2 linked regions of the Kluyveromyces lactis genome follow. The protein of the gene in region 2 purifies or fractionates together with the protein of the main gene of each other region. This does not show direct contact. Links are inferred from orthologs where the notes say so. Each region holds a gene or a part of one and is shown on either strand. Other genes may lie near its edges.

Region 1 (3,882 bases), on a different chromosome or scaffold from region 2:
TTTCTTCTACGTATTCGTACTCATCCTCATTACTGGGATAATTTTCTTCATCAGTAAACGCAGAATCACTATCGTCATCATCGTCATCCCGATGGTAGTTGTTAGATCTACCAGAACGTAGTAGGTCTGTGTCTAATTGTTGATTAAAAATTCCTGAAGGTCTTGAATTGTCAAACATATCCCTGGCATTACGCAATGGTTCAAAAGAACCTCCAATACCACCATAAACACTAGGAAACACATTTGTCTCCACCAATGTCTCGTGTCTTGCCTGATCCGGAGCCCTATATTGATCTTCATCCTGATACGCTTGTCTTTGTAATTCTTCAGCAAACTCTACGTCGCCACTCAGACCGCCAGAACCCCCTGTATTAGCACCAGCACCAGCACCGGCATTATTATTACCAGAATTGCTGTTCAACTGTCTCTCACCACCATGTTCAAAGAATAACGAGATGGCTGTTTCCAAATTGCCTCCGGCCATCTCAAGGAAATGTCTTGACAATTCATCGTTATCTGTACCGCAAACACCTTGGAAAGTTGAAATATCCTCGTCAGATATCATGGCTATTGAAATGTACTTCTTTTAATCCTTTTACTGGTCTCTGTAACTCTCTGTTGCCACTTGAAACCTGTATCTTTGGTTAATTCTTGTTCACGTTTGCCAACTGGAATTTCCTTCTTTTTGTTTCCCAATTTTAGTGTATTTATACTATACAACTTGTTATGTCAGTGAAAAATGCGATGCTAATTATTAATATAGAATGCCAGAATAAGACCCAGGAATACATGGATGAACATGCCAGGACATATTTCAGATGAATTATTTCTTCGATACTTTACCAGATTGTTTTTGCTGTTTTGATTTCTTTGTTCCGTCTACTACTCGATTTGCCAGTCCATCCTTATCAGTGCTGGTGGTGGAAGCCTCTGTCGAAAACTTAGTATGTTTCCCCTGAAAGTTGACTTTACTGATAGCAGGTTCCATTTTGCCACCTCCCAACGCAGATTGTAGAACTCTTTTTGCTTGTTCTTCTTGCTCCACCTCATCCTTCTCTTCAGATTCTTTCTTAGCTTCTAACTGTTTAGATTTATCCATATATGACTTACACCTTGCCAATTCGGCCATGATAGGTGACAGGTCTTTGATATTGAGGACTTTCATGTATGAAAAGCATAGTGAACTCAATACATATGCGTATTTGTTTGAAAGATCAAGTTTCTTCTTTTCATCTTGCAGAAGCAACAGTTGTTCGTCCAATGACTTGCTCGTTAGTTTGTTAATCTCACCACTGAGTTGTTCCACCTGTTTATTGAGATACGAGATGTATGGTTTAATTTTCTTAGTATCTTCCATGCTGGTAGTTGTATGTGGTCCGTGTTCTTGTCGTTGTCGACTGAGGCAGCGATGAGATGAGATGAGATGAGATGAGATGAAGCTGTATAATACCGAGATGAAGTATTCTTCACTGAATCAAAATTTTCGATCAATAACATAATACTGCGAATTTTTCGCAATGGAACAAAACGCATAATAATCTGCGTGCGTTTCGCACGTAGAAGTACTTCAGTAATATTTCTATTTCTTTATCCAGCGAAAATTCCATATTTGCCTGCCAAAAAAAAAAAAAAAAACGCAAGACATTACACACATTCATACCACATATATGGAGAACCTGTACTCAATACAGGGCGAGTAGTCCTATTTGGACTGTTGAAGTAACATCCACCCTCCGCCAGTATACTTAATTTCAACACTGGCCTAGCTCAAGAAGTACTTTAGTTTGTTTCTCGTCAGCATAGATAATGGTCGCTGATGACTTATCGAATATAGAGACACAGCTACGACAGGTTCGTGAGAAATATCGTGAGCAAGCACACTCGCTCTCGCCAAGCGATGCAGAATCATGGTCAACCTTGGCATCAAATTTGCAGAAAGTCGTCACAGAAATGGATCAGCTTTTGCAGCGGAACTCTAAACAGATGAACGTATCCTTCCTATTGAACCACGAGTCATCATCGCTTCAGGCTGGAATACAGCCACCGCAACCGCTTCTACAGAACCTATACCAAAAGAACGGGAACGACGAACAGCAGAACCATCTCAAAGTCAAACTCGATAGAACTGCGTTCTATTCGGAAAATTCCCCCTTCCAACATCAAATGGATCGGTCTGGTTCATTCAGACTCTGTCCACCTTTAGCACATACAAGTGCAGAAGATTACTTCCGCAACGATACGCAAACCCCAATTATGATCTCAGATGGCCAGATCCTGGAGAACTTGGCCAATCTTAAACGTCTCACTGAGATGCAACGCCAATAGGTGGATGTAATCTTCGTTTTCGTTTGAGATTCGACACATCACATATATGATCCATCTTTTATTTGAGTCATGCGAACGTTTTTGACCAATTATACACATATACACATATAATATGTATAGTAAAAGATAAAGCTGTAATGATACACTATAAAATATCTGTTGGCACCAGTTGCAGAACCATAGAGGTTCAATACCCAACGCAATTCTATCTCTTTGGTATATGTTTTCTCTTAAATCTGTCGAATTTGTCGCTCTTTGAGGGGGAAACAAAATTCGAAAAACATTAAAATAACTAACTAGCAAGTAAACATCAACATCAATAAAGTATCAAGACAAACAACGACACTAGGAAAGCTCTACACGCAATCTGACAACGGCTGTAGTGGAAAATCAATAGAAGAATTACATTGCTCTAAGTTATAAGTTATTTTTTTACCCCTCATCATGACTGGGAATCGATCTCTGGTTCAGAGACACAGAAAGAAGTTCGTTGTTTCTAGTGTTTTGTTTGCTACGCTATTTGCTACATGCGCTATTACGGTCTATTTCAGTAAAAGATGGTTGTACAAGCAGCATTTGAAAATGACGGAGCAACGATTTGTCAAGGAACAGATCAAACGGAGGTTTGTACAAACTCAGCAGGACTCGTTGTACACTCTTTATGAATTGATGCCGGTAATGACGTTAGTGTTGGCTAAGGATTTCGATCTTGATTCTATTGTAGAGGCTCTAAAGGGGAAAAAGTTACAGAAGAAGCTTTCCAAAGGTGAAATAGCTGGGAATGAGTTGGAAAATGAGGGCTTAAGTTCAGGAATGAGTGCGATGACGCCTGCACCCAGTGTGTCAGCGAAATCTCCGCAATCTGCAGATACCACTAGCGTTTCTGAAACGTCTACGAAATCCAAGGCCGAGCTTTGGGACGATTTGAAACTCAAAGCTATCACCAAGATCATTATCTTGTCCTATACCACATCATTATTGATGCTTTTAACCCGATTGCAATTGAATATATTGGCAAGAAGAGAGTATTTGGATACTGCCATCAATTCTGCCATGGAAAAGGAAAGGGAAAAGAAGGCTAATCAATACTCAGTCTTATCTTGGTTCTCTAGTTGGATCACTGAAAAGAGCAACAATTTACCCAGTGAAAAAGCTGACCCAAGAAACAGCGATGGTACTATTGACACGGACACAAGGAGCATTGCATCCACTGCGAACCCTGAAAAATCGAGATACGTTAACGAACAAGCTTTCTTATCCTTATCGTGGTGGTTATTAAACCGTGGATACCTACAATACAAGAGTATCATTGAACAATTGGTGAAAGAAGAGTTCCAAAATTCGAACCCAAGAGATATCATGACAATGGATGAGTTCAGTGGCAAGATAAGCAAGATATTCGTCACCACAAACAAGCAATTCTTTCAACAGCCACAATCGAATGAAATGTTCATTTCATGTCTACTTCCTGAACCTAACTTAGAGAGATTTGTTCTTCAACAAACTTTAGAACAAGATGCTTTGAAAGTACTATACGAGGATAATCTATTACTAAAA
Region 2 (4,689 bases):
GCCGACTGAAAATCCCATTGATGAGTCAATTGACGTAGCTATTCCAATCTTCTTAGCACCTATACTTTCAACTTTAACCACAATTCGTTTTGCTATACCATTTATTCTTGTAAGGGTAGTTTCTTCGGTATGGAATTGCAATACAGTCGACTTGCCATTTGTCATAATTGCAGACCATAAATCACCAAAATTACCATTCCTGAGCCTATATCCTAAGCTTAGGTTTAAACCTGTAGTCAATGGAAAAGAAGCTGGGACTAATAGGTTTCTGTAAATAGCAGTTTCATGTTCCTTTCTTACGGACTCAACATTTGATTGTGCGTTCAGCGAAATTGTATGTAGATCTCTTTTGGAGTCAATAATAACCGAATTGATAAACCAAACAGTACTAGCGACGATTACCAAGATAGCAACCAAGTATTTTGAGAAGGTGATCCAGTCCACCATCTTTTGGGAGTGAGTTTACCAACAGCTGTTATTTTATGTAATTACGCGCCGTGCATTTTACTTTGCGTAAACTTCTTCAGTAATTTCAAGTTCCGATATGAATCAGTGTATATATATATATATAATATTTCAGATCCATAAACGAGGAAGAATTGTCAGTTAAACAAAAGTGAAATCTCATAACAAAGCAAATTACATGCCCCTTCCTTTTTGTAGCTGTTCGCTGTATTAAGTGTGCAATAGATTCAGAACGACAGCCGCAGCACACAATTGCGTACATTCATCCAATACTTGGTATATTCCACTGACATTTACAACATTTAACGTGAACGAAACGCGTAAAAAGCATTGTTAACTATCCTAATTAACGATCAAACAACAATCCCCAGCTACATTTCCTTAGTGAATATGACTGTTGAGAAGGTAATAAGGAAAGGATGTCTATTGGTAGCTTTGCCAAATTCAGTGGATTCTCCTGTCGAAATATTTGAACTTCCACATCCATCGAATAACGAATCAAAGAAACCTATCAAACTGTTTGTACACGACGATAAAGTATACCAGCTTAAAATCAAAAAGTTCAGTAAAGGCTGTGACTATAATTGCTCGCGAGATTTAGTGAATGATAAATATCATTATACTTCAGATTCGCAAACATTTAAATCCACATTTTTGATCAATGAAGAGAACAGGAAAGATGGACACATACTAGAAGATGGTTCGATACTATATGCCGAAAAATATGACTTAACTTTTAATATATGTGGGTATTATTATAGGAACAACAAAGTTACTAGTGAGGATCTAGCGTTTATTACACCTTGCGTTCCACCCGCACTCGATATGGATACTAACTTTTATACTAGTTCTGATTACCAAGAGAAATTAACGAATAATCACAGTGAAAATTGGGAGAAGATACCTCCAAAATTATGGGAAAGTTGTCTCGGGAAAATATCACATACAGTGGAAGAAGCTGGTGACAAGTATTATCGTATCGAACCTCAAATGATAGTAGAATGGCTACTGAAGAAAGTCATCAAAATCAACAACAACTTCCCTACTTCTCTTAAAATACCAAAATCGCTACCTGAAGATATAGCATCATCTCTGAAATGCATAATGTCGTGTAATCTTCTAGTTTCCTTGATCCCACAACTCGCATACCAGGATCTAATTAGACATGAATCTTCAAATCTTAACATCAAACAATGTTTCGACTCATACGACAAGTACAAGAACGAAACATTACAAACAGAAAGGGAAAGAGAGCTCCTTATCAAAGCTGCTATGTCTACAGCCATTCCAAATGGCACAAAAACCGTAAAGAAACAACCTATTCAAAAGGCTAAAGTTGTGAAACCAAAGGTTGCTAAGGGTAAAGGAAGAATTGACGGATTCTTCAAAACTAACAAAACATAAGTAAGGGCATATAATAATTTCGTAGAAATATCAGTATTGGATAACCTCTATCATTTTGACCTAAAGCTTCACATAACATGCCGTTGTTGAGCTCTAAAATAATTGATCTTCTTCCACTTAATACCTGTCTACAGGGTCTTCCTCCTAGAGAAACTCGCATCAATTTTGTTTTTATTCCTTTTTCATCTTTCTATCATATCAAATGAGACAAAGCTTATGAAAGATTTAGAACTATAACACTTGAAAAGTTAAAGAGTTGCGATGAGCAGCACTGAAAGAGAAAACCATAGCCGAAGAGAGCTTGCATTCGCATATCAAAATAGTTAAATCGATAAGAGGTGATGGCAAAAGATATAGAGATCAGTAATGCTGAATCCAAATTTATCCTGGAAGCGTTAAAGCTTAAACAAAGATTAGATGGACGTTCATATGACCAATTCAGAGATGTGAAGATCGAAATAGGTGAAGCATACGGTGATGTGACTGTTACCATGGGTAACACAAAGGTACACTGTCGTATCAGCTGTGAAATTGCACAACCTTATGAAGATAGACCGTTTGAAGGACTTTTCCATATAAGTACCGAAACTACACCGATGGCAGGTGCTCAGTTTGAGAATGGGAACAATACTGGAGAAGAAGAGGTATTGATCAGTAGGATGATTGAGAAAGCTGTAAGACGATCAGGAGCATTAGATGTAGAAGGTTTATGCATAATAGCTGGCTCCAAATGTTGGTCTCTTAGAGCTGATGTTCACTTTTTAGATTGTGATGGTGGACTAATCGATGCCAGTTGCATTGCTGTAATGGCTGGGTTACTTCATTTTAAGAAGCCCGACGTTACTGTTCTTGGTGAAAGAGTGACGGTACATCCGATTGATGAAAGAGAACCTGTGTCACTAGGTGTTTTGCATGTTCCAATTTGTGTGACGTTTTCATTCTTCAATCCAGACGATACAGAAGAAAATATCAAAGGTGAGGACAATGCAGAAATATCAATCATCGATGCTTCCTTAAAAGAGGAGCTATTGAGAGATGGTGTGCTTACTGTGACGCTTAATAAAAACAGAGAAGTTGTTCAAATCTCCAAAGCAGGTGGTTTGCCGATGGAAGCTTTGTCGTTGATTGATTGTTGTCATAAAGCATACGGAATTGTAGAAAAAATCACTGATCAAATTCATCGTGTTGTGAAACAAGATACCATTGCAAGAAACCAATACGCACACATTTTGAGCTCTGAAAATGCTCGTGAAACTTAAGGAGCATTGTATCGAAGAACTGGAAGCTTTTCTTCAATTATAGATTAATGCTTATGGTTGTACCATATCCCAAGACACTTGGCAGCTAGAAGTCGTTTAATCCATGCCGTTCAGCGCGTTTGATATTGTTCTGTACTATATGTTGTATGTATGAATATACAAATAATGTATCTGTTTGGTGGATATATGAGAGTGTATGCTGTGAATATCTTAGCGATAGTGAATCAAATATAAAGTCTGGTCATGTCTCTTTCTGTTGAGGAAGTCACTGATTCTTCCCGAGCGTTAAACTTTACAATATGTATTAAATTTGGATATCTGTTCAAGTCGTTCTTTTCAAATTCGAATCCGTTTCGTGAATTAAGTTCGGGATACAAATCTCGTTCATCCAACATCATCATGTGTTTGTCAATAGAAATTTGTGTCTCTGGTGCAGAATTCAAGTACCGCTCTTCTGCCGCCAAAATGTTCTTCGAATTAGCCCAGTATGTTACTGTACAGTATATTATGAATAATAGCACGATACTAACAACAACAAATAGAATGTAGTAGCCGCATATGTACAATATTGGATTATTCCGTTGATCCCATAAATGTGACATTATAATCAATTCACCACAAATATGTCCCAAAATCCATCAATTCGAATAAAGCCTTGAGTGTTTGGAAATTCAACTCCAGTGATCAGGAAGAGTTAATACAATCTGGTATTAGTTGGTATGTACTTTTCACATCGGGTTCTACTTACCTGAATTTAATAATTTATCGATTTATTGTGACACATGACAGAGGTCGGTGATATAGAATATATTGTTCTTAAAGAAACGAGAAAACAAGTTGAAACGGACTGATGTATGACTTTTACTGCAATGAATAGGGGCAAGTTGCGAATACCTATCAATTCGATCATAACCTAGTATATATTGAAAAGTAGTCTCTGGCCAAACCTGTTAGGGATGTCATGTCTTGTCAAGTCAGAGGGACTTTTCAAGGCTACTAAATTTGATATCTCTGCACTAACAAAACCCAAAATATGGAAGAGACGTCTATCTGCTAAAATTGGGGGAATAACCATTAAATGGATGATGAGCTTGAGCCTTAGCTAATTGGCAGGGAAGTTTCCCCGCCGTTCCAATGTCCTTAACAAATTTTGTTGTTATAGTTATTTTATTTCCGTATAACGTGGTTTGATTGTAAAAAGCAACAAGCTGTTCATGCTTAGGGTAAGCTAATACCTGGAGAAAGGGCACAGGGCAGAATTCAGTTGGCTTTTAAAGTTGACACGTCTCCCCCCATTTCAAAGGTGGATTCTTCTCCATTAGTATAAATATCAAGTATGTATCCAGATATACATTCCTCTTCTCCTATTCTAATGGTCAACATATGTCAGCAGGGTTCCTTAATTTCATTAGTAGGGTGCTTAAAAGAGAAGTAAATTGTATCAATTTGACACATATAATATCCTTCGTAAACAGTTGAACAAGCAAATCTCTGTAATAATGCCTTCTATTGCTGTTGACTACGTTCTTTTCGACTTAGATGGCACATTGGTGAGTTCCAC

What was found. Proteins that work in one complex are often made in the same cells at the same time.
Region 1: the proteins of RRP45 (region 2) and LRP1 purify together in Saccharomyces cerevisiae (affinity purification with mass spectrometry; 4 studies listed by BioGRID). This does not show direct contact. The link is inferred for Kluyveromyces lactis from reciprocal best matches to the Saccharomyces cerevisiae genes RRP45 and LRP1.

Annotation. Positions count from the first base shown.
Region 1 is NC_006041.1:1,509,078-1,512,959, reverse strand, and holds LRP1 (Lrp1p), read right to left. Parts: upstream 1,358-3,882; coding exon 824-1,357; downstream 1-823. Other genes in the region: DNA protein crosslink repair co-factor UBX5, read right to left, coding at 1-565; KLLA0_E16985g (uncharacterized protein), read left to right, coding at 1,807-2,325; PEX3 (Pex3p), read left to right, coding at 2,770-3,882. UniProt on the Saccharomyces cerevisiae protein: Required for exosome-dependent processing of pre-rRNA and small nucleolar RNA (snRNA) precursors. Involved in processing of 35S pre-rRNA at the A0, A1 and A2 sites. Required for activity of RRP6 in 7S pre-rRNA processing.
Region 2 is NC_006039.1:951,847-956,535, forward strand, and holds RRP45 (exosome non-catalytic core subunit RRP45), read left to right. Parts: upstream 1-2,210; coding exon 2,211-3,128; downstream 3,129-4,689. Other genes in the region: DDE1 (Dde1p), read right to left, coding at 1-447; RNH202 (Rnh202p), read left to right, coding at 856-1,869; KLLA0_C11121g (uncharacterized protein), read right to left, coding at 3,353-3,730; KLLA0_C11143g (HAD family hydrolase), read left to right, coding at 4,628-4,689. UniProt on the Saccharomyces cerevisiae protein: Non-catalytic component of the RNA exosome complex which has 3'->5' exoribonuclease activity and participates in a multitude of cellular RNA processing and degradation events.